Caenorhabditis elegans: one gene and its partner. The protein of the gene in region 2 interacts with the protein of the main gene of each other region in a pairwise test. Each region holds a gene or a part of one and is shown on either strand. Other genes may lie near its edges. The genes, in order: dpy-17 and ppm-1.A.

Region 1 (3,564 bases), on a different chromosome or scaffold from region 2:
TGTTCCTGGGGTTGATCGGGCGCCAGGCAGAGGATCTCGTGGAATCGATCGCCCACCTGGAGGTGATTCTCGTGGTGTTGATCGACCACCTGGAGGTGGAGGAATTCCTGGAGTAGATCGGCCACCAGGAGGTGGAAGGCGCGGAGTTGATAGACCACCAGGATCTGGAATGCCTGGAATCGATCGGCCACCTGGAGGGGATCGAATGGGTGATAAGCAAAGAAGAGGAGCGAGAGGAGGTGTTAAGGAAAGAGAAAGAAAACGAAGAAGTAAGTTTATTCAACCTTTATTCCACGAAAATTCGAAATCCTTATGTTTTTTTTTAAATATTTTTAAATAACGCTTTATTTTTCAGGAGATGAATTCCAGCGAGGAGGTGGTGGTGGTGGCCGAGGCGGTGGCCGTGATGGTGGAAGAGATTATGGTGGTCCTCCGCAAAAATCTGGGCGACGTGATCGATATGATGATTAGTGAGTTCAGCAATGAGCAGAGATATAAAACACATTGAGAAAGTATACGAAAGCCCCTTTTTCTCAGCTATCTCGGAAAGTAACTTTACTTTCAATTGAAATTTTCGAAAATTTGCTCTAAAACTGACTCAAATAATGCCGATCGACACTTCACGACTTTGAGGCAGTTTGTCAAAAACTTCTCGAAGCCTTCAATTAAACATAAAAAAGTATTTGTGACTATTCGCGTTTCGAAACCCCAAAAAAATTTCAATTTTTCAAAATCTCGATTTCAGCGATCGATCGTATCAAGGAACAAGTGGATATGGACAAGATTATGATTCACAAACATATGGAGAACGTGGTTACGATGGACATTATCAAGGACAAGAGGATTATTATGGAAGGTAATAAAATTAAATATTTTAAAATGAAATTAATTAAATTTAATAAACGTTTCAGTCAAGAAGGATATGGAGAATATAATCAGCAACACTACGGTGAAGGATACGATCAACAAGGATATGGGCAAAATGGAGATTCATATTATGGACATGAAGGGTAAGGAAAATCACTTTTTTAATTGTTTGAATTGTATTTTTATTCAAAAATAATTACCTATTTTCAGCCAAGATGCATCGACATATTACCAAGAAGATGGCAGTCAATACTACAATCAATACTACGGTACTGCTCCTGCAGAAGGTGAAGCTTCAGCTGTAACTGGAACGGATTATCATGCAACATTCAGTGTACCACCACCACCGGCTCCCCCTCCGTCATAAATTTAAGAATTGGGAAAACTAAATATTTTTGAATCAAAAAACTTCCTTTTTCAATATTTTCTTCAATTCTTTCCCGATTTCTTTCAATTTCAATAGTTGACTTTTATTTATTTTTAATTTATAAAATTTCTTATATTCTTCTTCCTCCTTCTATTGTATGAATATTAAAAACAGGTCCTTCGACCCGAAAAATCCCCTTCTCAAATCTAGGTCATCATATCGGAGATAACGGACAATTATGCATAATATTCGAGATGATTATCATATCGGTCATATGAGGGGGCGGAGTCTCGCATACAGTAGTCCTTTGTCCTTGTGCGAGGGAGTTTATGAGTATAAAAGGGTCCCTGAGAGAGGAGAAATGGACACTTTTATCAAAACATTTTCCATCTTTGTTTATTTTGACGATATTTATTCGCTGATACGAATTTTTGCAATTTTTATCCCGGATACCGTATTTCTTGGCAATTCAGATTACGCGCAAATTCTAGAATAAACATGTTTTCCAGATCATGTCAGTGTTCGCGGGATATGCCGCGTGCACCCTCGGTGCCGTTTCGATGCTTCTCTGCGTCTCTCTTGTCCCACAAGTCTATCAGCAAGTCTCGATGCTCCGGGACGAGTTGACGACTGAAATGGAGGCATGGCGTCTCGAGTCCGATCAAATCTACATGGATATGCAGAAGTTCGGACGTGTCCGTCGTCAAGCCGGAGGATACGGTGGATATGGTGGATACGGTAGCGGACCATCTGGACCATCCGGACCATCTGGACCACACGGTGGATTCCCAGGAGGCCCACAAGGACACTTCCCAGGAAATACTGGATCATCGAACACCCCAACTCTTCCAGGAGTTATTGGAGTTCCACCATCAGTTACTGGACATCCAGGAGGAAGCCCAATCAACCCAGATGGATCCCCATCTGGTAAGTATAGAAAAAATAGTCCAAAGATCTTATATAAATTGAACATTTACAGCTGGACCAGGAGACAAGTGCAATTGCAACACCGAAAACTCATGCCCAGCTGGACCAGCCGGACCAAAGGGAACTCCAGGACATGATGGACCAGATGGAATTCCAGGAGTTCCAGGAGTTGACGGAGAAGATGCTGATGATGCCAAGGCTCAGACTCAACAATACGATGGATGCTTCACTTGCCCAGCTGGACCACAAGGACCACCAGGATCCCAAGGAAAGCCAGGAGCCCGTGGAATGCGTGGAGCCCGTGGACAAGCCGCTATGCCAGGAAGAGACGGATCCCCAGGAATGCCCGGATCTTTGGGACCAATTGGACCACCAGGAGCCGCTGGAGAAGAAGGACCAACTGGAGAGCCAGGAGCCGATGTTGAACACCAAATCGGACTTCCAGGAGCCAAGGGAACTCCAGGAGCACCAGGAGAGTCTGGAGATCAAGGAGAGCAAGGAGATCGTGGAGCAACTGGAATTGCTGGACCACCAGGAGAGCGTGGACCACAGGGAGAGAAGGGAGATGATGGACCAAATGGAGCCGCTGGAAGTCCAGGAGAGGAAGGAGAGCCAGGACAAGATGCTCAATATTGTCCATGCCCACAGAGAAACACCAACGCCGCTGTCTCTGGAAACCAAGGATACAGAAACTAATTTCACATTATTATTTGTGATTTGTGTTGTTGAAGAAAATAAATTATTTTATTCTCATAACTTTTTTCAATCGAAGGATGTTTTCAGAGAAGCATGTTATCCTAGTTCAGATAATCTCAAGAAATAGGCTTACTATAACAGAAAAAGTTAACTGAATTGCAAACATTTTCAGATAGTAGAAATATAATCAAAACACTTCCAAGCTTTGAAATAGAATACTAAAATATTAAAAAAAAAAACACCCTATTTCCCCAACGAAAATGTTTTGTTACTATTTAATTGAACGATTGTGAACCTATTTTACAAAAAAAGCATTTTGATCTACCAGTTGAACTCAACATATATTTATTTTCAAAAGAATTTCAAAAGATAGATCAAAATAGTTTATCTGAGTTTTTTCATTAATTTTTCCCATGAAAACAGATTCAATACTTGCGAGCATCCTTCTTGTCTCTCTTTCAATGATGCCCGACAAGACACACAGAAACTGTTTCTTTCTCTGCCGTCTCTTATGTATAGAGTGTCCCGAACAGCTGTTTGGAAACGATGGCCGAGTCTGAATGGCCTTGTCTTTTTCTCTTCTCGGCCAGTTTATCGAGTTTATTGGTACCCAGTTGAAATATTGTTTTAGTGATTCTTCAATATCAATATTTGCGTTCAAAAGTTAAATTAGCTCAACTCTCAATTTTCTAAAATCTCTTATGTCC
Region 2 (5,854 bases):
ATTTCTCTAAATGTATGTCTTTTCGTAGTAAAATGTTTCCACCATAATTGGAAATATAGAAGTGAACTACTATTAAATATTTGAAATATTGTAAATTCAAACCTGCAGAAGCAGTAAGACCTGCAGAAAGAAAAGTTGGAGATATCAATTCTGAAAGTAAAAACATGGAATTTGCAAGAAAAGTTCCCATTGAAAAGGCTGCGGCTAAAAATAAAAAGTTTGTAGGTCTCATGCTCTCAGGTACAGCAAGTCGAAGTACTGCAGGAGCACAAACAAAACCACTTCCAGCTGAATATCCCATCACGAAACGGCCAACAAATGAGCAAGTCGTTTGGAAACTTAATAAATAAAATTTAACGAAAACGATAAAAATGTGAGATCTAACATGGGAATCGCTGAAATTATTGCTCCGAGAAGAAGTAATCGGGCACATTTATCAAGTTCTTCGTGTAGTTTGACTTCGTGAAAAGAGAGAAAACAAGTTGCAATAAACTTCCCAATTGGAAATGCAGCTGTTACAAGAGAAATCTGCCAAATAGTTTGAAATTCTTTAGGATCAACACTTGACTGTTGAAATATCTGAAGAGAAGACACAAGTGCTAGAATAAGAGCAAGACGCATGTCGATGGAAGGACAATGAAAATAGAGCAATCTGAATGAAGTTGAGTAGTAATATGAAAGAATCTGCATTTGACACATCAATTTTTTCATTCTATCCAATTATCTAGTAAATTATACAAATGATGGAAATGATGAATCCGTAAATAATATTTTGGTGCGATTTAGACAAATATAACAGCGAGAATAGGGGGAAAACGATTGGTTGGGTATATTCTGAATCTTGATGGGAGTGTTTGTAGGTGAATTTGACAGAAAATACTATTTTCGCAAAAGAGCGGATAAAACAATTAACCTTAAATGATTGATGAAGAAATATAGATATAACTTAACAAACAAGTGGAAGATTTTGGTATGATGAGAAAGAAAATTGGCACAAATTTCGTTTTCCAAATGAAACAATGCTAGGATTGATAAAATTATAAAATTTGTTCATTTGGGGAGAGGCTCCGTTTTAAATTTGGACGAGCTGGTTTAATGAATTAGATAAGAGCAACGGGATAAAAGTGAGGAAAGTGTACTTTTTTAAAGTTTGGGAATAGAGTAGAAGCCATGAGAGTTACACATGCTTGATGTCACGTTGTGTCAGAATTTTCTGGGCCAGCGTAGTAACTGTATGTTCAGGAACACGCAAATCAGTTGGCAACAGTCCATTTGCTGTTACTTTATCCAGAATGCTCTTGAGAGTGACCATGTCTTCTTCTTGTTTGAAGTCTTCCGCAGCAACAGCCTCATCGAGGAATTGATTTATAACAGTCTTCACTCGGGACACCCATGCTTCCTCGGCTTCTTTTCGATGAATATTGACTTCTGGTGCAGCAGGGAAACATACAACCACCATCGTCATATTATCCCGACTTCCTTTCACAAGGCATTCGTCGAGAACATCGTCGCACACCTGAATAATTTTGCAATTATTTAAGTTTCTAGACTGGAAATTATTCCTCTACTTCCAATTGGAAATTTTTGTATTTATTCAAAAATTTACGTTTTGTTCTAAAACTGAGAAATTCATGAATCCAAATCATAAAAATATGCCACGTGGAAGGTTTAAAATGGATAAATAAGGGTGGAAAAGATTTTTATTACATTTTCTCACATTTTGAGAAATGTCGTTACAATTCTTTCCAGCAAAAATATTGAAACTTCGAGTCGGTTTTCGAAAAATAAGAGCACTTTTTAAAATGTCACTGTTTCTCGGAGTGAGATACAATTTTTAAAACGGAATTCAAAACAAAACTTTTTAGTTTTGGTAATTAATTTTGGAAAATGATTGCATATCGGTTTGTTCAAGTACAAAAAATACCTCTCTCAAATCAGAGTGAACTGAAAGGCGATCTTTCACAAACTCTGCGAGTTCTTCATTCGTCATCACATCGTAGATTCCGTCACATGCAACAACCATAAACTGATCATTTTCAAGATTTCTCTCTCGGATGTAAACATCTGGTTCAGGAGAGACAAGTTGTTGATCAGCAGGTAGTCGCGGATCATCTTTATACTCGTAGTCTCCGAATGCTCTGCTTACGGCCAGACTTCCATTTATTCTTTGAATCATAACAGAACCACCAGCACCCTCAATTCGTTTTCTCTCCTTTTCCAGATATGGTTTGTGGTCCTCGGTACCGAAAATTTCATTTTTTCCAGCAACAACCGCACGGGAGTCTCCTGAAAACATGATTTATTGAAAGTCTTTATTCAATCTTTTGTGCAACATTTTAATGACATACCGAGATTTCCGATAATGAAATGAGTTGGAGTGACAATGGCACACACTGCTGTACATCCGCTTTTACTCTGAAAATATAAAAATGGAGTGGAAAATGTTATCCGGCAGATTAACTTACGATATCATTGCTCGTTTTACTGATTTCATCAAAACTCAAGAATCCTTTCTTGATTCCCTTTTCGAGCAGTTTTAGTGTACTGTCTGTGAGAACTCCGTTGTTTTCCTCCAAAGTTTTGGTCATCTCACGAAACTCTTCGCTTGAAATGAGGTGTTCAAGAAGCTGCGACGATGCTCGATTGGCGATGTGGTGTCCAGCATGTCCATCGAAAACGGCAAAGAATGACCAATCCTTGTAGGGGGAGGATTGAGACATTATAGCCTGTAACGAAGCAATTTTTCATAGATTAACTCAATTAAAAGTCTAACCTCAGCAATGTGTGAATCTTCCATACATATTCTCCAGCCCTGCATAGACGACATTCCATATCTGATTCCCTAAAAATTGTTTTTAAATTCATATCCGGAAAGAAAAAATATATTTAAAATTTTGAGTCACATATGATTTAACTGCATACCCAGATGGTTCTCAGAAACTCACATTTCCTTCTCCATGGACGTTAGTTTTGTCGGTTTTCGGTTTGTCGAGAAACGCTCCCATCGTCTTCGCGTCGACTTCTACTAAACCCGCACTGGTAACTCGCCAAACACGAAGCTCGTCGCTGCTACTGCTTCGAGGCACCACCGGAATGGGCTGGCACTCTGAAAATAAATTAACTGTGGAGAGAAAGGTTGACGCTGCCGTCGCAACAGCCGAACAGGTTAACGCAGAAACAAAAAAGAAGCGGCCACGAAGCATTATAGCTTTTCGCTTCAAAAAACAAACCGACTCATGCATTGATTACTCGTGACGAATTATGTGGAATTGAAAGAATATACATGGGTATTGGTGAGAAAAACCATGAGAGAAAATAGTGTTCACGGTTGAGATACGGAGATGGAGAGAGCGGGAAAGCAGAGAAACTAACAATTACCGCTGGCAGAACACACGTGAAGTCATCGAATTTCAAGTTAACTTTTTGATAGAAAGACAAACATGACATCATTTTTTTTTGTATATTTTACATTAAAATTCAATGACGGTAAAAAGTAATAAACATGCAAAACAATGACGACCACAATATTATCTTTCAGAGAACACTGATTCATAAAGGTTAAGTTCAAACACAATAAGATTTCGGCACATTATCCAAGACCCATGTATATTCCTAAAACTAAATATCTTTACCTTGGTCCGAGGGAGTTCCGAAAATAGATAGCGAAGCAATCGTGGACGCAGTTTGCCGAATTTCCGGAGCAAATGATTCGTTGAGATTTCCGTGAGTCTTCGGTTCAGCAGAAGACGCGATTTGCAAATCTGCACGTGAAATCGTCATTCTTCTCGGGGGAAAAAATATATCAAAAGACGAAAACAGGACAACGAAGAAGATGACGACGATATATTCAAATACGCACTACTGTTCCTTTCCACCACCGACTTCCCGAGTAGTGGGCGGATCAAATTCAATGGGTTGGTTTTTAGAGTTCGATTTAACGTCTTGCGACTTTTGAATGTACACAATTTATTTCTGGTCTTTATGGACAGCAAGGGTAGCAAATCAACTTTGTACAAAGTTATTGGTCGGAGGACGGAGGAAAGTGATAACTACTCTTCAGAAAAGACCGTGAAACTCGTGCTTTTAAAAAAGAGTGACCTGCCTAGAGAGACTGCTGACGTGCCAGATACATTATTTCTCTCACGTACAGAAATTATCTCATTTCGAAGAAGTTGGAAATCATGAAAAAAAATTGAGGAGAGTAGAAGAAAATCACGTGGATAATATGACGTTAAATTAGATAAAGCTATTTGTGTTCTTTTTCGAGTAAAAAAATGAAAAAAGCAACGAATCAGCGGAGCCACAGGAACTTACATTCTTGTGTAGAAATGAAAAACTTTCTTTCTTATCAGTAAAAATATTACGGCAAAAATGTATTGTATCGCCGATTTCGTTGAGAACTACTGTTCTACTTTTAATTTTTGACAAATAAAAATAGGCTAACTGGGTTAATAAATCATTAGTGAGCTTTTCCAGTTTTTGAAATAATTTAAATTTTGCTAAATCGCCGATTTTGTATTAACGTATAATTTTGATAGCAACAGAGAGTGCGAGGAAAGTTTTTCATAATCGGAAAGTTAAAATGTGAGAAAGAGGTATGACGAAATCAGATTTGTGGTGTCTTCCCGCGCCATCACCGTCTGTTTTCCAAAAAGGAAAAGTGTTTCGAGTGACGGCTCCTTTTATTCCCGTCCTTCTTTCTTTTCTGTCTTTAACGTCGTCGTCCACATGGACAGGGAGAAAAGAGGCAAACTGAGAGAGGAAAACAATCGAAAGATGCGGTCGAATCGAGGGCACACACGCACACTTGGAGAAACGAACGAGTGCAGTAGAAAAATTGAAACGCGTCAATACAAGCGCACAAAAAGCGCGTCAGCAAGCGATAGTTAACGCAATTGGAAAATAGAGGCGATTCAAATGCATTTTTATCGAACGAAATGAAAGCTTTTTTCTCATTAGCTTCCTAAATCTCAATAGGGGTTAATTTAAAAATACATACGTCAGAAAAAATCTTATTTGTGAAACTGTAAAAAATGCATACAAAAAAGGTCACATCGGAATCAGGGGTGTGCGGCAAATGGAAAAAATTGCCGAGCTCGGCAAATCGACAATTGCTGGTTTTTCAAAATTTGCCGAGCTCGGCAAATTCGGCAAATCTCTTTTTTCAATATTTGCCGAGCACGGCAAATTCGGCAAATTTGCCAAGCTCGGCAAATTCGGCAAATTCGGCAAATTTGCCGTGCTTAACAAACTCGGAAAAATTTGATATTTTTTATGTTTTTTGGAGCACCAAAACTACTGAATTCTTAACACACATCTGGTTTCTGAATAAGTTCCGCGTAGTATGTCTGTTTAAGCATCAAAATAGCTCAATTTTGTGTCATTTTACTAAATTTTTGGCTAAAAAATCAATAGTTTTAGTCAAAATTGTACTGTCAAATTTTTGACGTGTGCGGCAAATTTCGAAATTTGCCGAGCTCGGCAAATTCGGCAAATCTACTTTTTTGAAAATTGCCGAGCTCGGCAAATCGGCAATTGCTGGTTTTTTAAAATTTGCCGAACTCGGCAAATCGGTAAATTTGCCGAATTCGGCAAATCGGTAAATTTGCCGAGCTCGGCAAGTCGGCAATTTTCGGCAAATCGGCAAATTTGCCGCACACCCCTGATCGGAATTGAAACGAATCAATTGAAGAAATCTAGAAATAATTCTAGAAGTTTTGGGCGAGATGCAAATGCGCTCCATTCGGAAACGACATACTAGCGGAAGTTTAAATTTTAGTTTTTTGTGCATTTCTCGTACAACGTTAATTTTGCAGTTTTACTGGAAAAATCATTCATCCAATAAATAGTTATT

The links.
Region 1: the proteins of ppm-1.A (region 2) and dpy-17 interact in a two-hybrid assay, tested with the Caenorhabditis elegans proteins (one large-scale study listed by BioGRID).

The regions. Positions count from the first base shown.
Region 1 is NC_003281.10:5,105,587-5,109,150, forward strand, and holds dpy-17 (Cuticle collagen dpy-17), read left to right. Parts: upstream 1-1,743; 5' UTR 1,744-1,746; coding exon 1,747-2,161; intron 2,162-2,213; coding exon 2,214-2,857; 3' UTR 2,858-2,905; downstream 2,906-3,564. Other genes in the region: F54D8.6 (C2H2-type domain-containing protein), read left to right, coding at 1-269, 356-470, 746-856, 912-1,010, 1,078-1,234. UniProt on the Caenorhabditis elegans protein: Secreted collagen that forms part of the nematode cuticle, which functions as an exoskeleton and a barrier to protect the worm from its environment.
Region 2 is NC_003283.11:10,532,205-10,538,058, forward strand, and holds ppm-1.A (Protein phosphatase ppm-1.A), read right to left. Parts: upstream 4,185-5,854; 5' UTR 3,781-4,184; coding exon 3,633-3,780; intron 3,107-3,632; coding exon 2,946-3,106; intron 2,843-2,945; coding exon 2,774-2,842; intron 2,727-2,773; coding exon 2,466-2,726; intron 2,416-2,465; coding exon 2,349-2,415; intron 2,287-2,348; coding exon 1,925-2,286; intron 1,517-1,924; coding exon 1,178-1,516; 3' UTR 686-1,177; downstream 1-685. Other genes in the region: txt-10 (MFS transporter), read right to left, coding at 103-338, 386-621. UniProt on the Caenorhabditis elegans protein: Probable phosphatase which regulates axon termination in ALM and PLM neurons, and synaptic branch extension and/or stabilization in PLM neurons.